4 linked regions of the Caenorhabditis elegans genome follow. The protein of the gene in region 2 interacts with the protein of the main gene of each other region in a pairwise test. Each region holds a gene or a part of one and is shown on either strand. Other genes may lie near its edges.

The links.
Region 1: the proteins of ZK546.5 (region 2) and exc-6 interact in a two-hybrid assay, tested with the Caenorhabditis elegans proteins (one large-scale study listed by BioGRID).
Region 3: the proteins of ZK546.5 (region 2) and xnd-1 interact in a two-hybrid assay, tested with the Caenorhabditis elegans proteins (one large-scale study listed by BioGRID).
Region 4: the proteins of ZK546.5 (region 2) and ztf-8 interact in a two-hybrid assay, tested with the Caenorhabditis elegans proteins (one large-scale study listed by BioGRID).

Annotation. Positions count from the first base shown.
Region 1 is NC_003281.10:1,101,368-1,106,227, forward strand, and holds the start of exc-6 (Excretory canal abnormal protein 6), read left to right. Parts: upstream 1-1,840; 5' UTR 1,841-1,856; coding exon 1,857-1,985; intron 1,986-2,757; coding exon 2,758-3,201; intron 3,202-3,675; coding exon 3,676-3,858; intron 3,859-4,026; coding exon 4,027-4,124; intron 4,125-4,860. UniProt on the Caenorhabditis elegans protein: Constitutively active protein required for microtubule and F-actin growth, structural maintenance and organization during excretory cell tubulogenesis.
Region 2 is NC_003280.10:4,934,023-4,938,486, forward strand, and holds ZK546.5 (C2H2-type domain-containing protein), read left to right. Parts: upstream 1-1,795; coding exon 1,796-1,877; intron 1,878-1,928; coding exon 1,929-2,005; intron 2,006-2,064; coding exon 2,065-2,265; intron 2,266-2,319; coding exon 2,320-2,413; intron 2,414-2,467; coding exon 2,468-2,799; intron 2,800-2,848; coding exon 2,849-3,141; intron 3,142-3,192; coding exon 3,193-3,727; intron 3,728-3,775; coding exon 3,776-3,907; 3' UTR 3,908-3,952; downstream 3,953-4,464. Other genes in the region: gst-30 (glutathione transferase), read right to left, coding at 1-423, 862-994; ZK546.4 (Energy transducer TonB), read left to right, coding at 4,034-4,147, 4,195-4,464.
Region 3 is NC_003281.10:5,602,808-5,608,056, forward strand, and holds xnd-1 (X chromosome NonDisjunction factor), read left to right. Parts: upstream 1-1,652; 5' UTR 1,653-1,653; coding exon 1,654-2,026; intron 2,027-2,072; coding exon 2,073-2,262; intron 2,263-2,312; coding exon 2,313-2,404; intron 2,405-2,451; coding exon 2,452-2,653; intron 2,654-2,742; coding exon 2,743-2,989; intron 2,990-3,446; coding exon 3,447-3,785; intron 3,786-3,829; coding exon 3,830-4,411; intron 4,412-4,458; coding exon 4,459-4,542; 3' UTR 4,543-4,749; downstream 4,750-5,249. Other genes in the region: madf-11 (MADF domain-containing protein), read right to left, coding at 1-65, 114-375, 420-511, 557-623; C05D2.8 (DUF7064 domain-containing protein), read right to left, coding at 4,767-5,031.
Region 4 is NC_003281.10:5,268,246-5,275,480, reverse strand, and holds ztf-8 (C2H2-type domain-containing protein), read left to right. Parts: upstream 1-2,009; 5' UTR 2,010-2,011; coding exon 2,012-2,091; intron 2,092-2,141; coding exon 2,142-2,241; intron 2,242-2,289; coding exon 2,290-2,576; intron 2,577-2,652; coding exon 2,653-2,960; intron 2,961-3,007; coding exon 3,008-3,090; intron 3,091-3,479; coding exon 3,480-3,680; intron 3,681-3,747; coding exon 3,748-3,891; intron 3,892-3,935; coding exon 3,936-4,010; intron 4,011-4,119; coding exon 4,120-4,436; intron 4,437-4,445; exon of another isoform or gene 4,446-4,469; coding exon of another isoform or gene 4,470-4,556; intron 4,557-4,607; coding exon of another isoform or gene 4,608-4,722; intron 4,723-4,765; coding exon of another isoform or gene 4,766-4,899; intron 4,900-5,046; coding exon of another isoform or gene 5,047-5,220; exon of another isoform or gene 5,221-5,242; intron 5,243-5,301; exon of another isoform or gene 5,302-5,355; intron 5,356-5,549; coding exon 5,550-5,714; intron 5,715-6,178; coding exon 6,179-6,482; 3' UTR 6,483-6,726; downstream 6,727-7,235. Other genes in the region: toc-1 (similar to Transporter Of divalent Cations), read right to left, coding at 1-66, 139-192; Co-chaperone protein daf-41, read left to right, coding at 725-843, 978-1,327, 1,434-1,492; ZC395.4 (uncharacterized protein), read right to left, coding at 4,470-4,556, 4,608-4,722, 4,766-4,899, 5,047-5,220; ZC395.5 (Ovule protein), read right to left, coding at 6,986-7,131.

The sequences.
Region 1 (4,860 bases), on a different chromosome or scaffold from region 2:
GCTGGGACCAAAAAAAATTTTGGACTAAAAAAAAATTGAAATTTTCGAAAAACCAAAAAAAAAAAATCCAAAAAATTTTTGATGCTTTTGGTCGATTTGTAAAGTTATTCAAGTAATGTTGCAAAATGTATTAAAATACATTTTTTGTACCATTTTGTACCGAGTTCGGCTCTAGCTTCTTGCTCAAGTTTGGCCCAAACAATATTAACTTGGATCAGAAGAGTTGGGCAAGACTTTGGCAAAACTTGGATTTGGGAAAAATCAAAGTTTAACTCAAGTTTTGCCCAACTCTTGCCAAACTTGCCAAACAAACAAAATTCTACCCCAGTTTGAAGCCAAAGTTTGGCAAGAGTTGGGCCCCCCAACATCTCCAACTTTTGCCCAAGTTAATAATTTTAGGGCCAAACTTGGGCAAGAAGCTAGAGTCAAATACTGAGATTTGTACCAATATCTATAAAATTTAAAACAACATTTGTCTGTGTCGTCATGACAGATTTTTGTTTAACACCCTCTATCATCCTTAGCACATCTTATCAAAAACCTACCCCCCCCCCCCCCCTCAACCAATCCAGTTAATATCCCGGATATCATCATCCTCACCCAAGTACCTCCAGTCTGTTTACCTGGGGGGGATATCGCGCAACGACCACAGATTTCGCATTTTTGATCTCCCGCTGGCTGCTATATCATCTTTATTTGTACTCACTCCCCTCTTGTGTATCTCTATTGTGTGTGTGAATATTGAATATGCTAATGAGCCCCACTCGAGAGTCTTCCACAACAACTGTATAATATCTTTTATATCGATAGTACACCCCCTCTGTTCAAACAAATCTTGTCATGGGGCAACTTTTTATTTGATCTTTCTAAACTTTTTCGCGGCTTACCACCTAACTAGTTTCTAATTGACACATACACTAGAGTTTTAATGAGGTGTTAAGCCATCGAATATTGCATTGGAATGATGATTGGCAGTTGCTCATTTTACGTTTTCAAAAATTGGTGTGCCAGTTACTCTACATTGCGCTTGCTTCTTTAAAAAGGCATAACTCCTTAGAAAATTTTGTTTTTTAATAAATTAAAATAATAAAAATAGATACAAGTCATAGTGTTTGAAATTTTGCACAGTCTCTCAGTTTGCAACTTTTGGCCAAAATTTTTTTCCGCGAAGTAATGCGCCTTTAAAGCTGGGCGAGCCTACTCAAAATGGTCGAGAGTGCTCGATCTTATTTAAAGGCGCATAACTCTTTTGAAAATAATATCTTTTAAAATCTTAATAAATACATCTCATAGTTCTTAAAATTCTGCACGTTTTCCCTGTTAACAAATTGTGAATACCTCCTTCCTCCGTGGAGATATGCGCCTTTGAAGCTGGGTCTACTGCCTTTTCTCAACAGGGTCGAGTGTGCTCGTTCGTGTTTAAAGGCACATAACTCGTATGAAAAGTGCGAATTTTAAAATTCAAACATTTATTTCTTACAGCTCTTGACATTCTGCACATTTTTACCGTTTACAAATTTTTGATACCTCCTTTCTCCGCGGAGTTATGCGCCTTTAAAGCTGAGCTCTACCAGGGGGACTAATTGTTTAAAGGCGCATAACTCGGCGGGTTTTTATGCGTTATAAATTTTTTTTTGTAGTATATAAATTATAGCTCTTATAGCTCTTAAAATTGTGTACACATTTTCTTAGTTGGAATTTTTTTGACCACATTTTTCCAGGCCGAGTTGTGTGACCTATTTTTAAAAATTTTCAAAAAATACCTCCATTGCCTAAATTTTCTAAAAAAAATCCCCAATTTTCGCTCAAAAAATGTACTCTAATCAAAAACTCTACACTTTGCAGATGCAAAAACCATGACGAGCGACACAATTCGACAAACTCTCGACGAGCTGCTACTTGACAAGAATGGCGGCAGCAGCAACGAGGCTCGCGCCTTCTTCTTATCACAAATTATCGATCAGCTGAAATTGATTAGTTCTCAGGTATATTTTATTGAATTGGGCGCGTTGTGGGCTTTCAGAAACGTATAATCATGACTAGGCCACGCCCATATATTGATTTTTGACTCCGCCCCTATTTGAAAATATTGCGAAATTGTGAAAAATCTACTGTAACTTTCTGAAATTAAGATTTAGAAAAGTTTGAGTATTTATTTTGTACTCGGCTAGTTATGAGCTTTCAGAAAGTATAATCATAACTAAGCTCCGCCCACTTTGGTTTAGGCTCCGCCCCCTATTGTGAAATACTTGCAAAACTACAGTAATCCTTACCAAAATGAATAATCAAAAAATGTTTTTAACATTTCTGAATATACCATGCTTTTAGCTTTCAGAAACGTATAATCATGACTAGGCCACGCCCATATATTGATTTTTGACTCCGCCCCTATTTAAAAATATTGCGAAATAGTGAAAAACCTACTGTAACTTTCTGAAATTAAGATTTAAAAAAATTTTGAATGTTTTTTTGTACTCAGCTAATTATGGGTTTTCAGAAACGTATAATTAGGCCACGCCCACTTTGGCTTAGGCTCCGCCCCTTTATTAACTTTTTGACAATGAGATGAATAATTTTAACCTTAAGTTTTCTCTATTTTGCCTAAAAAATTTTTTTTTCCAAAAACTGACTATTTGCCAACAAAAACCTTAATTTCGGCCCCGCCCACTTTGTACTAAACTCCGCCCATTTGTAACTCCGCCCATTTGTTTCAACGTTTTTTCTTAAAAAAAAAAAAAAAAATAATAATAATTCCAGACCGATGCAGAACGACAATTGCAAAAACTACAACTAAAGGATCCCAACGACAATATAGTCAAAGCCACGCCCCCTCCTCCGCCCCCGCCCCCGCCTTTAATTTCAATACTCCAACAGGCGCCTCCACCGCCTCCCCCACCGCCTCCTCCAACCCTAAAAGCTCCACCGCCACCGCCAATTTTGGGCCTGAAAACACCTTCAAAAAGCCTAAAAACGCCCACGCCTCGGCCCAAAGAGTGTCCCACCTCGTTTTTGCCGAAAAAAGAGAAAAAGACGAAAACACGGACGGTTCAGTGGTCGAAAATCAACGCGAGTGTGGTTCAGGACGACAGTGTCTGGGGTAAACTGGCGAAAGCCAGCAATGTGGATATCGATTTTGATCTACTCGACAATTTTTTTGGAATTGAGAGCTTGGCGGTGTCGGGAGCCGCCGAGGTGGTCAAGGTAGGAATTTTGTTAATTTTGTTAAATTTAGATTTTTAGACAAAAACAGTTTTATGAAAGTTTTGGAAAAAAATTATTTGAAAAAAAAATCGATTTTTGAAATTTTCCAAAAAAGTTTTTTTTTTTGGAAGTTTTTTATTTAACAAGATTTCATTCACAAATTAGGAACTTTCTTATTAAGTTTTTTGATATAACATCCATCATGCCTATATTCCGGCTATTTTGAGTTCTGACACAGCTGAAACCGGTGCTACAGTACCCCGCGTGGCGAGACCCAAAACTTCAAATTTGACGGAATGTAGGCGTGTAGGGGGTCATTTTGAAGCATTTGAAAAATTAAATTTAGATTTTTAAACAAAACAGTTTTACAGAAGAGCTTTGGGAAAAAACTATAAAAAAATTTCGAAAAAAATTTTCAACCCAAAAAAACATTTTTTTTTCCTCCTGAAAATTTCAAATTCCTTAAATTTCCAGAAATCTACACGAAAAGACGCCCACGTAGAATTATTAACTGCAAAACGTAGTCAAAACGTGGCAATCATGCTGAAACAGTTCAAAAATATCGATGAGCTCATCGATGACGTCAGCCAAAACAAGCCGGTCGCCGAAATAGATGCTTTGCAGAATTTGTTTGGAATGCTGCCGCAAAGTGAAGAGGTAAGTGAAAATAAATGGGAAATTCGGATTTAGCGCCAAAAATCGATTGGGAATCGATTTTTTTTTCGGCGAAAATTTGGATAAAATTGAATTTTCGAAAAATTTTTTGATTTTTTTGAGATTTTTTCATGAAAAATTCAAATTTCCCCAAAATCTTCAAATTTTCAGGAAGAAGCCCTACGACGATACACCGGTGACATTTCCCTACTTTCTCCTCCATCGAGCTTTTTCTACCGTCTAGTGCAGATTCAATTCTATCGCTTACGGTGAGTATTCGCTGCGAGACCCGATTTTTTTGGATTTTTAAGTGTGAAATTCGAGTTGAGCTTGCTGAGCGCTTCAATTTAGGTATAATCATGACCAGGTTCCGGTAATCCGGAAATTTAGGCGACACCTCTTTTCTTGGCTTATTGTGAAATATTGATTATAAGTCACGCCCACTTTTTGCACTATAAATGGGTACAGCCTAACATTTGCAAATATTTTTGTAAAAAAGTATATCAAGTCTAGGCTCCGCCTACTTTCAAATCCAAACCACGCCCCTTATTGCGAAATAATAGAAAAGTTATGATTTTTTTTGTGAAATTTTTTAGCTAAGCAGCTTTGTCTTAATTTATTTTGCTCAGAATTGAAAAAAAAAATCAATATTAGTTGACTCCGCCCATTTTCAAATCTAAGCCACGCCCCTTTCTTGGTTTATTGCGAAATTATTGCAAAATGGGGAAATTTTTTATGAATTTTTCCATTCGAACAAGCTTGAACTAACTTTATTTCAATTTTTTTTTGTTTAGAATTTGAAAAAATCAATATTATTTGGCTCCGCCTATTTTCGAATTAAGGCCACGCCCCTTTCTTGGCTTATTGCGAAATGCTTGGAAAATTTGGAAAAACTCTGCAAAAATCAATAGTAAAAATTTCAATTTTGCTCTGTTCGAGCTAATTGAATTGAAACTTTTAGAAAAGTATGCTCATTATTAGGCTCCGCCCATTTTTAAATCTAAG
Region 2 (4,464 bases):
GGAATTCGTCTAGAAGTGATTGACTGGCAGCAAACACAGATCCACTGTCACTGAGAAGATCTGATGTATGTTGAGCAATCAACAGATCAACCCAGGTGACAGAGTCACCGATCAAGAATCCAGATCCACTGGCTTTAAGGAAATTGGTGAAGAATTGGTAGTTTTTCTTGAAATTTGGAAGGAATGTGTCCTTGTAAAGAGCATCGGCATCTCCTTGTGCAAATCCCATTTTCACGAGATTATAAGATCGGATGTCATTGAGATAATCTTTGAATTGATCTGCAATTGCATTCACTTGAGCTTCTTCCCATGGACATCTTCCATTTATTCCAAATTGGCGAGCAAGAAAACGAGAAATTGCATGGGATTGTCCAAGTGGTTTCCCATCCTGATAAAGGACAGGAAGAGTTCCGAACGGCATAGCTGGAAATATAGAAAATTCAATACAACATTTTTAGACATAAAAAAATTAAATTAGAAAAACCTGTACACAAATATCCCGCCAGCCTCGCAATTAAAAGTGATCGTATTTGTTATTCTATTACATGGAAGATACTTTAACATATATCTCGATTTTGGAACTATACATATTTCATTTCAAAGAGCACCTTCTAAATAGGTCCCTACAAAAAAGTTAGATTTATACGGGAACTTTGAACCAAAAAAGGTAGTTCTGAGATTGCTTTCAGGTCAGTTTTTGTGAACAAAAATCAATGATTTATAATAAGACCCAGAATATTGGTGTCAGGTCTAATCAAGATTTTATCAAGTGGATCTCGCCACGCCCACAGCGGTTAGAGCGGCACAACATTTTAATCACGAATAAATAGTATTTTGAAAAAAAAAGTTTCAAAAACTCACTCGACTTGAGAGCTGGCCAATCAGCCTGTGGAATCCGGTGATCCTCAAACTTTTGCCCGGCATATGCCAGAATCTGTCGTGGAATTTCTCCAGCAAATCGAATTGGAAAATATGAAAGTTTATAGTGGACCATAGTGTGTTTGGAGTCGAATGATGAAAGACCAATTCAAACATTCTCTTTTATACTGTCTCCTTCATTCAATTTGTTTGTCATTCTCATCGTGTTTTTTTTTCGAAGTAAGGCGGCATTAAAAATGTACGAGAAAGGTTGCCAAAATGATGACAATTGCTTGGAATTGGGAGAAAATCGAGGAAACTAGAGACGCGTCTTGCCACATTTATCATCCTTGCTAATATTAAGGTGTGATTCTGTTGGTCTTACGTGATTTGAGAATGCTCTTTTTTATAGTCAGCATATTTGAGACACTAGTGTAATAATGAAGAATTGAGAACAGTTCATATCTAACAAAATGACTATTACAATGTAAACTTTAATTAATAAAAAAAATTAATTTAAATTTCCGTTCTTCACTAATTACCTGGCAATTTACGAAAAAATACGGTACCCGGTCTCGAAACGACCAACTAGATTTAAAGGAGTACTGTAGATCTCGCAATTGTCTTGGATTTGTTGTTATTTTCATAATTTACATCAAAATTGGAATTCAGAGCTGAAGACATGAAGAGTACGTACAGTTTTGCTTACCGAACAAAAAATATACGATTATTTTTAATACTTTTTGGTCCAATTTACTCGTCTAGTGGCCCTTCCCACAAAGTCGACTCCAACGCTGCGTCTCCGTTCTCTCGCTTGCATCCAATGGAGCGCACTTACATTAAATTTTATTTATTGAATTTTTATCGGTTTTGCCATGTATTTTTTAGTTTTAATTCCTCTAACTTTCTACAATTTAGTAAACTTTTTTGTTTTTAGATGGCTGCAATTATAGGTGGAGGACCACGAAAACCGCCAAGAATCATACGAAAAAATGTAGCGCTTAAACATACGCGGAAAGGTATAAAAATATTGTTTTTAGTCGCAGAAGTCATAATTCAAATCATTATAGATGTTCGAGACGACGAAGGTGAAAAAGTTAAACGAGAAGGATATGAAGTACAATCAGGAGTATTGACTGTAAATGAGGTAGATTTGTTATTTAATTTAAGTATTAAATTATTGTAGGAAAAATTATTAATATTCAGAATCACCCATCCAACTTCAAACCGAAGAAATTGCCAGGAATCGCTAACGATGTCGAATCTTATCCATGCCGATTTTGTGAGGAGAAAATTTTTTTGACTGCATCAGGACTTGAAAAGCATGGAAGAGAGTGTCACCTGCAGAATTTAGACGATATCATGCTAGATATTAATACAATTTGTGGAGAATGGAAGAAAAGAGAGGTATTTTAAATTTAGAAAATTGTAACTTTTTTTAAAACAAAATAAAGATTTCAGTTCGAACGGCTCCGATCTCGCGATCGACTAACAATGGATAAAATGAGACACGAAGCAAGAGCACATCAACTTGTAAAAGCTGTTCTTGCTGGAAGTAAGTAAAATTAGAAAAAAATAAATAAATATATAATAAAATGTACATTTTAAGATCAGCCGACTGTAGGAGGAGAACAATATGAAGCTTGTACAATCTGTAATATGCTCGTCAACATAGCACATCCAACAGCCATGGAATCTCATCAAAGAGCACACAAAAAGAATGACGAGCTTCGATTACAGCTTATTGATCGATTAGGAGCTCACGAGGTTCAGAATCTGACGTGTGAATTATGCTCATTAGTATTTCCTGATGATGGGAAGCTAAGAGCCCACGTTACATCGCATCACACCCGACGAAAAAAATATATTTGCAAGTTCTGCGGTCATATCTCTCACAGTATGTCAGAGTTGAATCTCCATAAAAACGATGTTCATAATTATGTAAGTTAGATTTAAATTCAACATTTTCGATTAATTTTTTCATTTTCAGACAGCATGGGCAAATGTACCAGAATACCTGAAATCACGTCGAACATTTTACCAATATGATGAAGAACAAAAACGATTGCGGCGACGAACAAATTTTGAAATGGCTGATGAAATGTCAATTCGACTGCCAATTCTTGGAGAGATTTCTGATGGAGACACTGCCGGACGAGTTACATGTCCAGAATGCGGACTAAAGTTGAATCGACCTCGTCTTTTGTTCAAGCACATGGAACGAGTTCATATGAAATCTTCGTTTTCTTGTATGGTTGAGACAGGAGGTCTCCCTACCTTTGAGTAATTATTTGTTTTAAACAAGAAAAATATCTAGAAAAAATATTTTTGCAGATTAGAAGTATCAAATGGTGAGATCTTTTGGACGTGCTGTGATTCTAAATTCGACAATCGTCCGGAGTTCATCGAACATCGACGTCTTCATATTCCAACTCAACATGAAGAAGTCGTTGTTGAAAGCTCCGAAGATCCGAATGATATTCCATCTACATCCCAAGCAATGATTCCAGATGAGGATGCAAATGAAGCAGCAGAACAACACAACTTCCCACAAATGATTCATGATGAGCATGGAAATATTCAAGTTCTCTTACCAGAAGGATATGATCTCAGAGAAACTTATTATATTTACGATGAGAATGGAACGAAAATTCAATTGGTCCCATTACAACAACCAGATGGAACTATCGATCATCATCACCTCGTTCCTCAATTTGAAATAAATCATGAAGGCGAGGAGCAGATAATTGAAGAGGGCGATGAGATGATGGCATTGGAAAATGCTGAAATTGAAGGAGAAGTTGCTGAAAATGAATATGATCAGTTTCAAATGGATCTAGGAAATGACTGGGATAATATGGGTAATGTGGTGAGTGGAATTTTGAAAATTGTTTTTTATAAAATTCGTAAATTTCAGCAAATGATCTTAGTGAACGAAGATGATACTCTAGAAGAAGAACATGTCGAAGATGTGGATCATCAAATAATCGAAAATGTCGAAGGCGATGAAGGGGTGATTGAAATCAACGGGCAACCACTTTTTGATTAGTCTTAAATATAAATAATTTTTTTTTCGAATAAAAATAAATTAAATTCAGTTTTTCACGTACATCCAACAATAATAAGTCAGGAAAAACCAAATATTTCAATTATTTCACAATTTAATCAAATCGAAATGTCGCGAGCAATCACACCAGCAGTTCCGAGGAGAAGTTTTCGAAAAGAAGCGATTGTGACAGTTGCTGCTGTTGGAATTGCGATTGTTGTTTGGAATTTCAGAGATAAAATTGTAAGAATACTAGGAGGATTTAACATCGAATTTCCGTTTTGTTTCAGTCTGATTTTTGGAATTATTTGGCTTTTTCGCGTCCCACAAACTCGGCTCCAACTTCGGAACGCGAGAAAATCGATCCATCCAAGACTGCTCCTGAATCATGGGATGCTCAAAAGTCTGCTGACATTGCTCCCGAGTCTGTAAAGGTTCCAGCGTCAGATGAGAAGCATGAACAGCCAACTGAGCAACAACCAAAGGAGATTGTCGGAAACCTTGCACCGGAATCCACCGAAAAGAATGCACCCAGCTCATCCGTCTATGTTGGTCTTCCG
Region 3 (5,249 bases), on a different chromosome or scaffold from region 2:
ATTATAGAAATCCTTATCCAGTCCGGAGGACATTGCGGTGAGCTGTGAAGGAGGTCGAGAGTCTGCTGAAAATATAAATGATTTTGGTGTATTTCTTTGCAAGAAACTCTTACATTTCTTCTTAAAAATCAATGAATCTGTCCATCGCATTGCCTCAATTAGTCCATCGGACATATCAATCGATTTTCTAGCATATTGATCGAGAAGATCCGACCAGACTTCCTGAACAAGAGTGATGTCCTGCCAAACTATATCAGCACGTATCCGATCCCATGCTTCTCGTTTCTGAACCTTCAACTGAGCATCCGGCGTGGCGGCTTGCATCTCCTCATCGTAGAGAATCGGATTTTCTCGAACCATATTGATTAGTTGAAGCTGAAAATTTGAAAATTTTGAATTTTAAACGTTTTCCAGCTTACAAGTGTGTATTGCGTAGTTTTTACGGGTGGATCTTCCCTGGAAAATTGTTGTTGGAGGTCTCCAGCACCACCGTGGGAGCTTGAGGCGACACCTGGAAAAATTATTGGAAATTCTGAATCTATGAATATCGATTTACTTGTCATTGAATGCTTGAGACCGGCGATTTGATAATCCTCTGTTCCGTGCCGCCGTCGGTCGCTCATTGGAAATTTTTAATAATAATTCTGAAATTTATTTTCTTCTCAAATTCTCGCAAGTTTCTCAAGCATTTCTAGCTGCGTTGCGTGGCGATTCCTTCCCGAATTCGAGTTTCATATCAATCTACGATCCATTGAACCCAATAACCCGATTGGCAAGAAGATGATCGTACACACTCATTCACATAGGTGATAGACGTGCTACAGACCGTGGGAGACTCGAACGGGTAGTAGGGCGGAGCCGGGAACCGCGACGCAACCGAAACGCTTCAGAAACCGCAACGGAACAGGCATGCGAAGCGGTCAAGATTCGAAAAAGAAAACGGAGCGAACAGGCAGAAAAACATCGATAGATAGGCGCGCGTGGCCGAGAAGGAGGCGAGACGAGACATCTAGGCCATCGATGGTTTCTCTGCGTCTCTCAAGTGAGTAAATAAATGGTTTTGAGAGGGTAAAATGAAGAAAAAGGATTGATCGAAATTTAAAAACTTAGTCTAGGAAAGGAAAACAAAGCAGGGGAAATCTGAAACAAAACATATAAAAACACACATTTTAACTATTTTTCAGAGTTAAACAAATATAATCTAACAAGAATTCAACTTCAAAGTGAAGATTTCCAGAAACGAAAATGGTTATGTGATTTAAAAATGTGATTTGTTCAAGGAATTACAAGAAAACTCTGGTTTAACATTTGAAGAAAATCCATATTGCGAAAAATGAATTTTAAAAGAATTATTGACGGTTTTGAAATGTGAAATTTTCAATAAATTTCGAAAAATAGATAACTTTTTTTAAATAAAGAAAAACAACGAAAAAATATTTCAGTGGTTACGGTAAACAAGCATAAGAGTGTTTGCGTACTGCGGACCAAAATCTTCGCGAGACCTCGGGTACTGTAGAAAATTTAGGTATTTTTAAAACTTTATTTTTCTATTAATTTCCCTTCTTTCTCATTGGGATTTTCTAGTTTTCTGGTAAATAAAAACAGTTTAAATTTAAATTTAAAAATTTTATCTCCATATTTTTTGTTTCCAGGATGTCTTCTGAACCCATTGTTGCCAATCTAGACAATTCCATGACGACAGAGCCTGCACCCGCAGCTTTTCCACCAATATCCCCAATGTCATTTGCTTTTATGAATGAAGAAGAACGAGCAGCGGTCAAGTTTCCAAAAGTTGATCCAAAACCGCAAACTGCTAAAGATGATGAACCTTCCACATCCCAGAAAACGTTGAGCGTCGATGATCTTCTGATAGTCGACGACGACGACGAAACTGATTCACCACCGGCATCTTCTAGTAATTATGAACCTAAAGCTCATATTGGATGGGCTTCATTCGGAGATTCCTGTCTCCCACCTCCACCAAAGCCAGTTAAAAAAGCTACGGATCCAAATTTGCCACGAAGAAGTTTGTTTGCAAATGGTCCTCTGTTAAATAAAAATATTGTTTTCAGAAGTCTACGTCATTCGTTCTCAGAATACAGACAAGTCGAAGTCCCCGTTAGTTGTTAATAACCAACAAGTAACACTCGAAAAGGCACAAAATTCTCCAAAAAATCCGAATCCTGTTGTATCTAAGCCAATAGTGCTTACAGACTCTGATGAGGATGTGGACGTTGTTGGATTCGACGAAGAGGAGGAAGCGTTAGTTTTTAAAAAGTTTTTTATTAAACAAAACAATCACCCGTCTTCAGAATTAAAATTATGGCCGACCCTACACGCCCACCAGATCTTCCACCACAGCGATCTCTGATATCCAGATTTGAGTCGAATCGAACCAAAAGAGGTATTTTCCATGAAAATTTGATTTTTTAAAGCTCATTTTCTCTTCAGATATCTTCCGAAACAGTTATGATTCTGATGAGGAGGAATTTCTGCGATCTCGGTACCAGCGAGCTGTCACACCGCCGCCAATTCTCGAGCGACAAAGTGGAAGTACTCGGGAGTCTGTAAGCGAACCAAGTGAAGGGAAAATTCTCGAGGAAGACGCAACGCTTGGAAGTGAACATACGGAAAGAGTCGGAAAACGAATTGAGTAAGTTGAATTTCGGGTTTTTGAAAACCTTGACTTCCAAAATAATGACAATTTGTTTAATAAGTCCTGCTAAAAAGCAAATTTTCCAGATTGGAGGAAATCAATCCATCACAGCTTCTACGAACCAAAATTTCGGCGAGCGCAATTCCAATCCTTCCACTCTCCAAATCGATAATGGAACGTAAAAAAGTAGCTCTGGAGATGACGAAAAACGCCGTGATCAGACAAGCGAATAACTTCCGTCCAAAAGCCAAAAACAGTACCGTGGCTCCAAAAAGTGTCCAAATTCCTGCATATAATCATAAAACTCCTATGACGTTCTACTCGAATATGGCGGTAAATTATATATTTTTGGAAAACCCTAAAGTGGAACTTCAATATTTCGAATTTTCCTGCATTATCATTAACAAAAAAACTTTTCAGCAATTACTAGTGTTTTTCATCCAATAATTATATTATTTCATTCCCTGTTTTCATCATAAGCAAAAAATATTTTCATCTAATGGTTGCACAAAATGGTAAATTTTTTGAAGAACTACAGTAACCCAACTCCAGTTTCTCTCAATAAATTAAAAAAATCTTGGCGAAAAATAAGAAAGTTCAGCGACATTGAAAAGAAGAGGAGAAGGGTTACTGTAGTTCTAAAAGGCGCTTACATTTTTGCGCCGGGATGATTGGAGATAATTGTTCGTGGTGCGACCGTAGTTCTTCCTAAAATTTTGCCACTGGCTAGTACTTTACAAAATCAAATTATTTGTGGCGAGACCTACAACGAACAATTTTCAAAATTCAGGCCCCCGCCTTCGTCAAAGGAGTCAATGGAAGATGTTATCGTTGCGCCGAAATTCAAAAGCCTGTGGATATGAGCTCCTTCCGATTCGTCGACGATTCTACCGTTATTGCCATCCGTGCTCATCTTTGCGATCAGACACGCGTCATGGTAGCTAGAACAGCAATTTGGAATCGAGAATACGCGAAACGACTCGGCGATCGAGCTGCTGGAACTGTTTGGCAGAAACCGGACGAGGTGTCGGCTCAGATGACCGGATTTTGCAGTGCGACGGTTCGTAGATGTATTGAGATTGCCAATATGTCTATCATTCCAAAGTGTGCTGATCGTGTTGGTGTTTCGGTAAGTTTCAAAGAACAAAGAAGATTTAATCTAACTTTTTTCAGAGAAACGAACTGACCTCCCTGAAGTCTTCTTTCGGATCCGAGAAGTTTTGTGGGCAGACCATGCGAGCTCCACATGTACTCACTCAGTTCTACTCAGTTAATCAGGCATCGATGGCTCGTAATAGGGAAGGTTCTGATGGTCCTTCTTCCTCAGCAGCAAGACCGGTTGGAAGACCACCCACTACGCAACCAGTAGAAACTGCAGTGGAGAAAAAGAAGAATGATGAAGATGAGAAAAGACATCATCCACTCACAAACTTCACAACAGCATCCACGTCTTCCCAAAATCTGCAAGATCAACCACCACCCAAGAATACCGTTCTCCGCTGGTCAAATATCACAACTCCGAGGATTCTTCGTCCACCAACTCTCAAAACTCCCTACTCGCTTCCCAGGACTGCAGTGATTCCGGTGATGAAGAAGAAGCAGCCCGAAATAGAGCAAGTTCAGCCGAAGAAGGACACGACGGCAAGCCTTGTTCGCAAAAGAGGCCGCCCGAGAAAGGAGAAGCCTCTGGAGGTGCAGTCTCCTCGCAAGGGACTATATCTTCGCTTCAAATCGTGCACAAAGTATATTGTTCGGGTAAGAGAACTGAACAATTTGAAAACTTGAAATATTTGGTTTTACAGACTCCAATTGACAAAAGTGTCCAAGAAACGGTGAACTATCTACTGGATGAGGTTGACAAAAGGGCTTCAACTTCTGCTACGTAGCTGCTACAATCTCTGTTCTTTTGTTTTTGTTTTCTCGTTCTAAATGTTTTGTTGTCTCATGTTTTTAGTTCTTCGGAACTTGTTATCCCCTCCCAGTGTTTTATTATTTTTTGTACATTTTACTGTTGCTCTGTTCTGCACGTTGACCCCACATTTGTTAGTAGCATATGAAACGGTTTTATAAAGTAAGTGGAAAAGGTAGAAAATCTGAATTTGATAATTTTTTAATACGGCTGAATACGATACTCGACTTCCGCGAATCCCCATCCCGGCTTTCCGTCGACAACGAATTCGCTCATTCCTTCGGTGACCTGACATGCTTGATCCAATCCCATTTTGAATGAGACGGCTTCCTTGATATGAACATCTGCGTGATGAATCTTGCCGTCAACTTCGAACGAGTAGTGGAAATCATCAGGGAAATGACGATCCTCTCCGTGGTTTGGAAGGGAGAAGTGTACACGATCCACTGGCTTCGTCTCACCAGTTCTGAAAAAAAAAATTTAGGTTCTGCCCATTAAGGAAATTACTAGAATCTTTTGCGAGAATACGGTACTCGGTCTCGAAACGACTTAAAGGACACTTATAATGATCCAAAACGACGAAAAATCATAATAAAACACTCCAAAAATGTTTATATTTTTCGTAAGCTTTCGCAAATTGCCAAAATATTGAAAAATAGGAGCTATTGAGAAAATCTAAAGCAA
Region 4 (7,235 bases), on a different chromosome or scaffold from region 2:
GGAAATTAGTCCTCGTTTCCCTTGAGGATGGTGTAACGACCTTGATACCCATGAGAAGCTGACCATCTGAAAATAGAACACTGCATTTTTGTTTCTGAACAATTTTAGACGCATAAAACAATAAATTAACAACTATACGCTGTGGAAGTCAACACGATTCAAATTTTTCTTCAGAAAATCCATTGCTTCCATATTTCCATCAAAAAATGTTCATTGAACGATTTAAAATTAAGCTGAAATGAGCCAAAACCTCGTAAATGGAGACGTGTTCGTTCAAAGGCGCGCGCACTTTCACCACTGGGTCTCGCCGCGATTTGGGAACTCTCTCGAATTATTTGAATTTCTGCCGTTTTATCATCTTCATTATGCGTTTCCATGGCAATTTTCCTGAAGAACATTCGCGACTTTATATTTCTAATCCATTTACGTTTATATTCAATGCCATTCGCACTTAAAATATATCGATTTTGGCCAATAGTCCTTGTATTTAGGAGAAAAAGGTTGTAAGAGAAAAATCAATCGAAAAAAGAAATTAAGTGGACAATTCTTGCTTGTTATTGCCGTGATATGAAAACATTTTCATCTGATGGCTTTATTTTCGTCAATTTGCATAATCATGCTAATTTCAACTGTGCGCTTATTTATATGTCGTGCACCTTCCTTGAATTTTATTGATTATTGTTCGTATCCGTCTAGTTCTCTTTTCGAATTACAGGCAAAAACCATGGCTAAGCAACCAACAGTTCTCTGGGCCCAGCGTGAATCACTTGTCTATCTGACCATCGAGGTTGATGAGGCGAAAATCGAGGAACTGAAAGGAGAGGGAAACAAGCTTCACTTCCAGTACGTTTCGGATTAATATTTCGATTTCTATTTTAAATGTTTAAATACGATATGAAGCATATTTCTTGCTTCCTAAATATTCACAGAATGTTCATGATGGTACATAGAATGAGTCGTAATTCGTAAATTTTCAGAGGAAGCAGCAAAACTGACAAGTACGAAGCAACTCTCGAATTCTTCGACGAAATCGATCCTGCATCCGTAAAGCACACTGGATCTTCAACCCGCGTCGTTGAGATCACAGTTCAGAAGAAGACCCCAGCCTGGTGGCCAAGACTTCTTCAAAACAAGGGAAAGGTCCATTGGTTGAAGGTTGACTTTGGAAAATGGAAGGATGAAGACGAGGATGATGAGGCTGAGGATGCCGGAGCCGGAATTGGCGGTGGAATGGCGAACGGATTCGATTTGAACCAGTACATGTCCCAGATGGGAGGAGCTGGCGGAGCAGACTTCGGAGGTCTTGAGGATGATGAGGAAGATGACGGTAAGTATTAAGTGCAATAATATCCTTTTTGCTTACTATTAGTAATTCGTTAATGATAGAAAACCAATGTAGTATTAAAATGTTATTTATTATAAAAAATTTTCAGATATGCCAGATCTCGAAGACAACGAAGAGGAGGAAGGAAAGAACGGAACGAGAGCTTAAGCAACTCCTCAAGTCCCAATTGTTTCATTAAAAATACAATTTGAATTTCTCTAATTTAATTCTTTATTCATTTTTCTCTATCCCGATTATTCCTCTTCCAGTTTGTGAACGCTTCACGTATCTCAGTCACAGAGTTTCATTTATTGTTTCCACTTTAAATATTTATTGAGTAAAGTGATATCACACCCATCTTCTTGCAGTGAACTTGTGAATTCTGACGGCTTAATTTTTATCCCGCATTCGTTTTTCTAATCAGTTTCCATGGGCAAGAACACAATTGGTAAGGCTCTGGTAATACTTTTCTAAAGTTGTTACTTTTTTTAAAATGTGAGCATACAAGGTATTTAATTTTGTCTTCTTTGTGGATCCACATGGAGAAAAAACTCCTGAAGACATAAATTTTACTCATTCAAGCTGGATAATATCATTCAAATCATATCATTCAAGTTAATACGCTTTTTCCGATCAATCATCTGAATCACAGCCAGAGATTAAATTATGAAATCGTATTTTTAAGATATGAACCAATTAGTGTGTCCATTGTGCTGCGAAACGCTGAAAGAGGAAGGCGCACACTTCTACAAACATTTTAAGTACAAGTGAGGATTTTAAATGTTATTTCTATTATTAAATTCATATATAATTTTAGGAGATATGCATGCGGAGAGAGCACATGTGATATGGGATTCTACACACAACAGGAGCTCAATGCTCATTGCTCGAAACACGGACACAAGCGCTCTTTTCAGGTTTTGAGACGATTTTCTACAATTAAAAATATTGTTTTTTTTCTTCAGAAGACAGTAAACCCATACATTGACAAAATGATATCGGTTGTTGTGGAAGACGCATACGCCCTAGCGACTGACGATATGGAAACTGTGCTTGAGAAGCGATGGGGAAGAGATCCGAGATCAGTGTCACCGACTTCACCTGTTAAAAAGACTCCTACTGATAGTGCAAAGAATAAAAGAAGTTCCGTCGTAACTCCAACATCTCCTCCAGTGCCAAAAAAGGCAAAATCGGGAACTTCTACGACTTCACCATTTGCATTTTTAAATAGAAGAACAAATAATTCTGAGAGGTATTTATTCACTAAATACAATTTTAACAATGCCTAGATTCCGACAAAGCCCTCGTTTTAAAAATGATATATTCAGCTCACTCTGCCCCAACGCCTCCTCAACATCAGCTCAGCCAGCTTCATCAAGTTCAGCTCAAGCTATAGTTGATTCAACAACCAGTGAACATAATATATCTATTGATAAAACAAAGAAACCGAGGAAGAAAAGAAACGAGTCAATGACAGCAGCTCAAAATCAAGAGAAAGCTGGAAAAAATGCAAATTACGATGAAATGTCAGCGATTGATAAACTAATTGGATGGTTTGATCCAAATGTTCCAGAGAGACGAGATGCTGCAAAAGTGAAATGTGCGGTTTGTAATGAAGAAATAGTTTATGATTTTAGTGAGTTTTTGAAATCTCTAAATTCGAATTTAGTTTTTATCTTACAGTTCTCCGAAAAGGACACGTGACTCGTTCCCACATGGCAGCTGATGTAGCACCAGAAGATTATGATGATTTGCTGAAAACTGCGGTATGTACAGGAAAACAAATTAAATTGAGAACAAGGCTGTGCAGCAAATCTACAAAAACAAATTTAAAAAAGGAATATGATATTTCATTTTGAGGCAAATCTGAATTCGAGAAGGAAAAAAAAAGAATTATTCTTATTTTTTTCGAAACAAAAAACGAAAAATCTACAGCCCTGACGGTGACTTTCCTGCACTTTTTGAGATAATTTTCGAGTTTTTTTCTCAAAAATAAATATCATATTCAGATCGAATGAACATTTCCCCCACACTGTTATATTAATTTTTAATTTGAATTAATTGATTATCATACTGAAATTATAAGTTTTGACCCTGTATCTACATTTATCCTAACTAGGTTGCAGTTTTTAAATTAAGAAAAAATGAGTTTCAGATGGATCGATCGTATCCAGATCTCCCAAATTCGGATCTTGCTTGTCAACTTTGCATGACTGGTGCTGAAGTTCGAAAAAATATGCGCCGAGAGCATATCGAGAAGCTGCACACGACGAGTCTTCCACCGCTAACATGTCCAGTTGGAGAATGTGAAAAAGGATTCAGAAGACAGTGTGATTTGAGTTCTCATATGAAAGATGTATAGTTTTATTTATTTAATTTATAATAAAGCTAGGAAATTGACAAAAAAAATCAAAGAATTCCAGACACACAAAGCGAGCATGGCAGTGTACAAAAATGCAACATTTCAACAAGTTCGTCGCCGTCGAAATGCTATGATAAACGAGATGATCAATAAATGCTTTCCGTGGTCTCGATTAGAAGCAATTGAGAATAAGACTGTAGTTGGGGTTTGTTGAATTATTAAAGTTTTCTGGGTAATTATGAGATTCAGGAGAAGTCGGATTCTGTTAACCGCGCTCCTGTCGATCGCTCGTTTGACACAGATGTTCGAGTGAGAGACGTTAACGTAAGTTTTTAGAAAAATTATCTACGGGAGTCATCACGACCAAGAGTGACATCCAAATTTTTTTTTAATTGAAATTTAATTTTTCAATTCTTACAAAACACATTTTCAGAAAACTCGCCGTGCTCCTCAATACAATGCGAACCGATCTTCGTCGTCCGATTCTGATTCAGAACATGAAGAAGCAGCGTCGGTGGCTACGGGAGAAGTTTCCGAAACTGGTGGAACCGATGATTTCCCGCAAGACGTCATATACATATGTCATCAATTCAATACGGAAGTTGCTCAAAAACTGTCGCAGATCGTCAGAATAAAGCCAGAGATCATTGATGTGGAAGACGTGCTTATGAATGATGTTACAATGGAAATAAATGAGATTCCAGTTAAAGAAGAAACAGAGGAAGAGCAACCGAAAGAGGAAAATAACAGGTAAAAATTGCATAGATTAAGCTTTATTCGTTTTTAAGTAGTTTTCTCGCTGCTTCCTGCAATCTTCTTTTCATCAACAGACAATTGTTGCGTTATCTCAAGTTTTCGAGTTTCCGTAGCCTGGGAAAATAAGAAAATATTTAGATTAGTCTAAAAATAAATACTCCTCACCTCTTTAGAGTTGCCCTTCAGTATTGCTTTCTCGAATTTCGGAAAATCGTCATCCAGCGTCACATACTCGGGATCTTTGCTTTCCTTCATTCCGGTCACAGTGCGTTTCGCGTCACTGTAATGAGAATGATTGGGAAATTAGTTATTATTGTGCTTACAGTTTTCTTGGTGGAGCTACAGATGGTCCATGTGACATTTCTGAAGCTTTTTCGGCAATCTTCTTGAGTTGAGACACCGCCTCGTTGTGTTCATCCTTTGCATCACGATCACTTTGCCTTGGTCCCTTGCTCTTCTGAAAAAAGTCATTTTCCAATAATAAATGCCTGAAAACTCTTGAGAATTGGCGAAACTAACTGAATTTTTTTTTAAATTTACGGTTTCGCCGCCAAACACCACTTTTATCTGCGCCCTTCTAATAATATTTCCATCCCTCTCTTACCTCCTTGGACGGAACTTTTGCCATTTTGCTTGCTCCCTTCTCTCCCGATTGAGCTGTTGTCGAATGTGAAATTGACTTCATTTCGGGATTAACACTTCCACCAGTACCAGGAGTCGATAGATTCTTCTTCGCCGATTTCATTTTCTTCTTCTGCTTACACTTTGTGACACACATTTTTGAACTACTACACACGTGCCTGGAAGTGTGCGGAAATTGTTCTTCAACGGAAACGATAGACGAAAAAAATAAACTCACTATTACAGTTCGATTTATTGAAAAATGATAATCGAACAGATGAGTGAAATGATTAAAAATAAGAACTGATGAAATTGAACCTTTTTGAATATTTCGTTTTGATGTTTTTTTCTTACGTAAATAGTTTAGATTAATATTTTTCTCCCGTAAGGTTACATATTAATTCCTTTTGAAAGTTTTTTGAAATTTTTTGAAAATTGCCCGTTTTTGGAAAGATTCAGTACTCCATATTATTTTATTATTTTCAGTACTCTACCATCAATTCCAATTCCATCAATCTTCTCACCATATGAGCCAATTGTTCCACCACCAGCTACATCTCCAGATCCAATGAATCCGCCAATTGCATCACTGCTTCCAACTCGAATTCTCAGTGCGACAAACGTTTTGGAGAATAAATATAATGAAAATGTGTGAGTTTTTACGAAATATCTGAAAATTAAAAAAAAACAACTTTTGATGTTTCCTATCAATTTTGCAAAATTAAAAAAAGATGGGCTAATTATTTTCAAATTCTCGCGTTAATGAATTGCCTAGTTTAACGTTTTCAGCTCGTTTTCCGCGAAAAAATTATTTATAACGGTGAAACTGTTTTTAAGTCAGTTTTGAAGTTTTAGTGAATTTATTTTGGCCTAAAAATTGAAAAACTCATCTTCATATTAAATATTTTTTATACTGAAAAACATTTGTTCAGCCAGGGAATTTAAAAATAATTAGCCCATCTTTAATTTAATTTAATTTTCATTTATATTTATTACGATAGTAAGATATGGAAAAAAAATCATTAAAAAATTATAAACGTTTTAATTTTTAAGCAGTTAAATTCAAAATCAGATCAGTTTTAACCATCATTACAATATATAATTTCTAATTTCAGTAGCTCAAGAAGATCGACATCACGTGAACGTTCTTCCAACAGAAACTACGATGAAAGATGGTCTCGAAATGACTACAGTAACCCTCGTAACTACAGCAATCGTTCATTCCATCAACGAAACCAACGGGGACATTCATCATCGAATCGTTTCAATTCTCCATTTGTTAGTCGAAATAACTACAACAACAATTCTGAAACAACTGAAGGATCTTCTCGTCGTTCCGAATATAATTCTTCGTCTTCCAATCATCATTCCCGTTCGTCATATCGTGGCAATCGAGATGATCGAGGCTCTCGATGGTAAAGCCGCCATCAATATTATATATGCATTTTCCTTCTAAAACCGTTCAATCTTCAAATATTTCCCTTAACCTTCCAGTATTCCAAATCAGCTTGTGCGAAATTTTAAGAAAATTTCTCGAAAAATCTAAATCTCCTTCGCTTTCAAACATCAAATTTAGTTTCTGTGTGTTAGTATATCCTAGCGTTTCATATCTAAGATAACAATTCTCAATTATCTCTTTTTAGTTAGCAATAAAATAATGCCATTGTTGTTTGACTTTAATTGTTGAATCTCTCGTTCTGTTTAAACGAATATTCCATGTGTGTTGTGTTTTATAATATTTTATTGCTTCTATCGTTCTCCAAAGTCTCGATTCAAAAATCCATGTTTCTAAATACGGAAGTGAAACTAAAACTGTTAAATCTAAAATTTTCGAATCAATATAAGTACATTTATTTACAGAAACAAAAAATTACAATTTCAACATATAAAATTACAAAAATCAACAAGAAAACGATATAATTTTAATACATTTCTTTTTCAAATGGATCATCAATCTTGACACTAAAATCCATTGATCGGTTCAAAAAATCGCGGAATTGTTCGATTAAACTGTCACGGCGACGACTTCCGATAGATTCCATGTGACAATCCATTGATGTATCAGATGCTGAAAATTTTTATAATATCAATAACTTTAGAGGGGAAAATTACCTGAAATATATTACCGAGACGCAAAACCTTACGATTTTTACACCAAACTAAGGCGTCCGG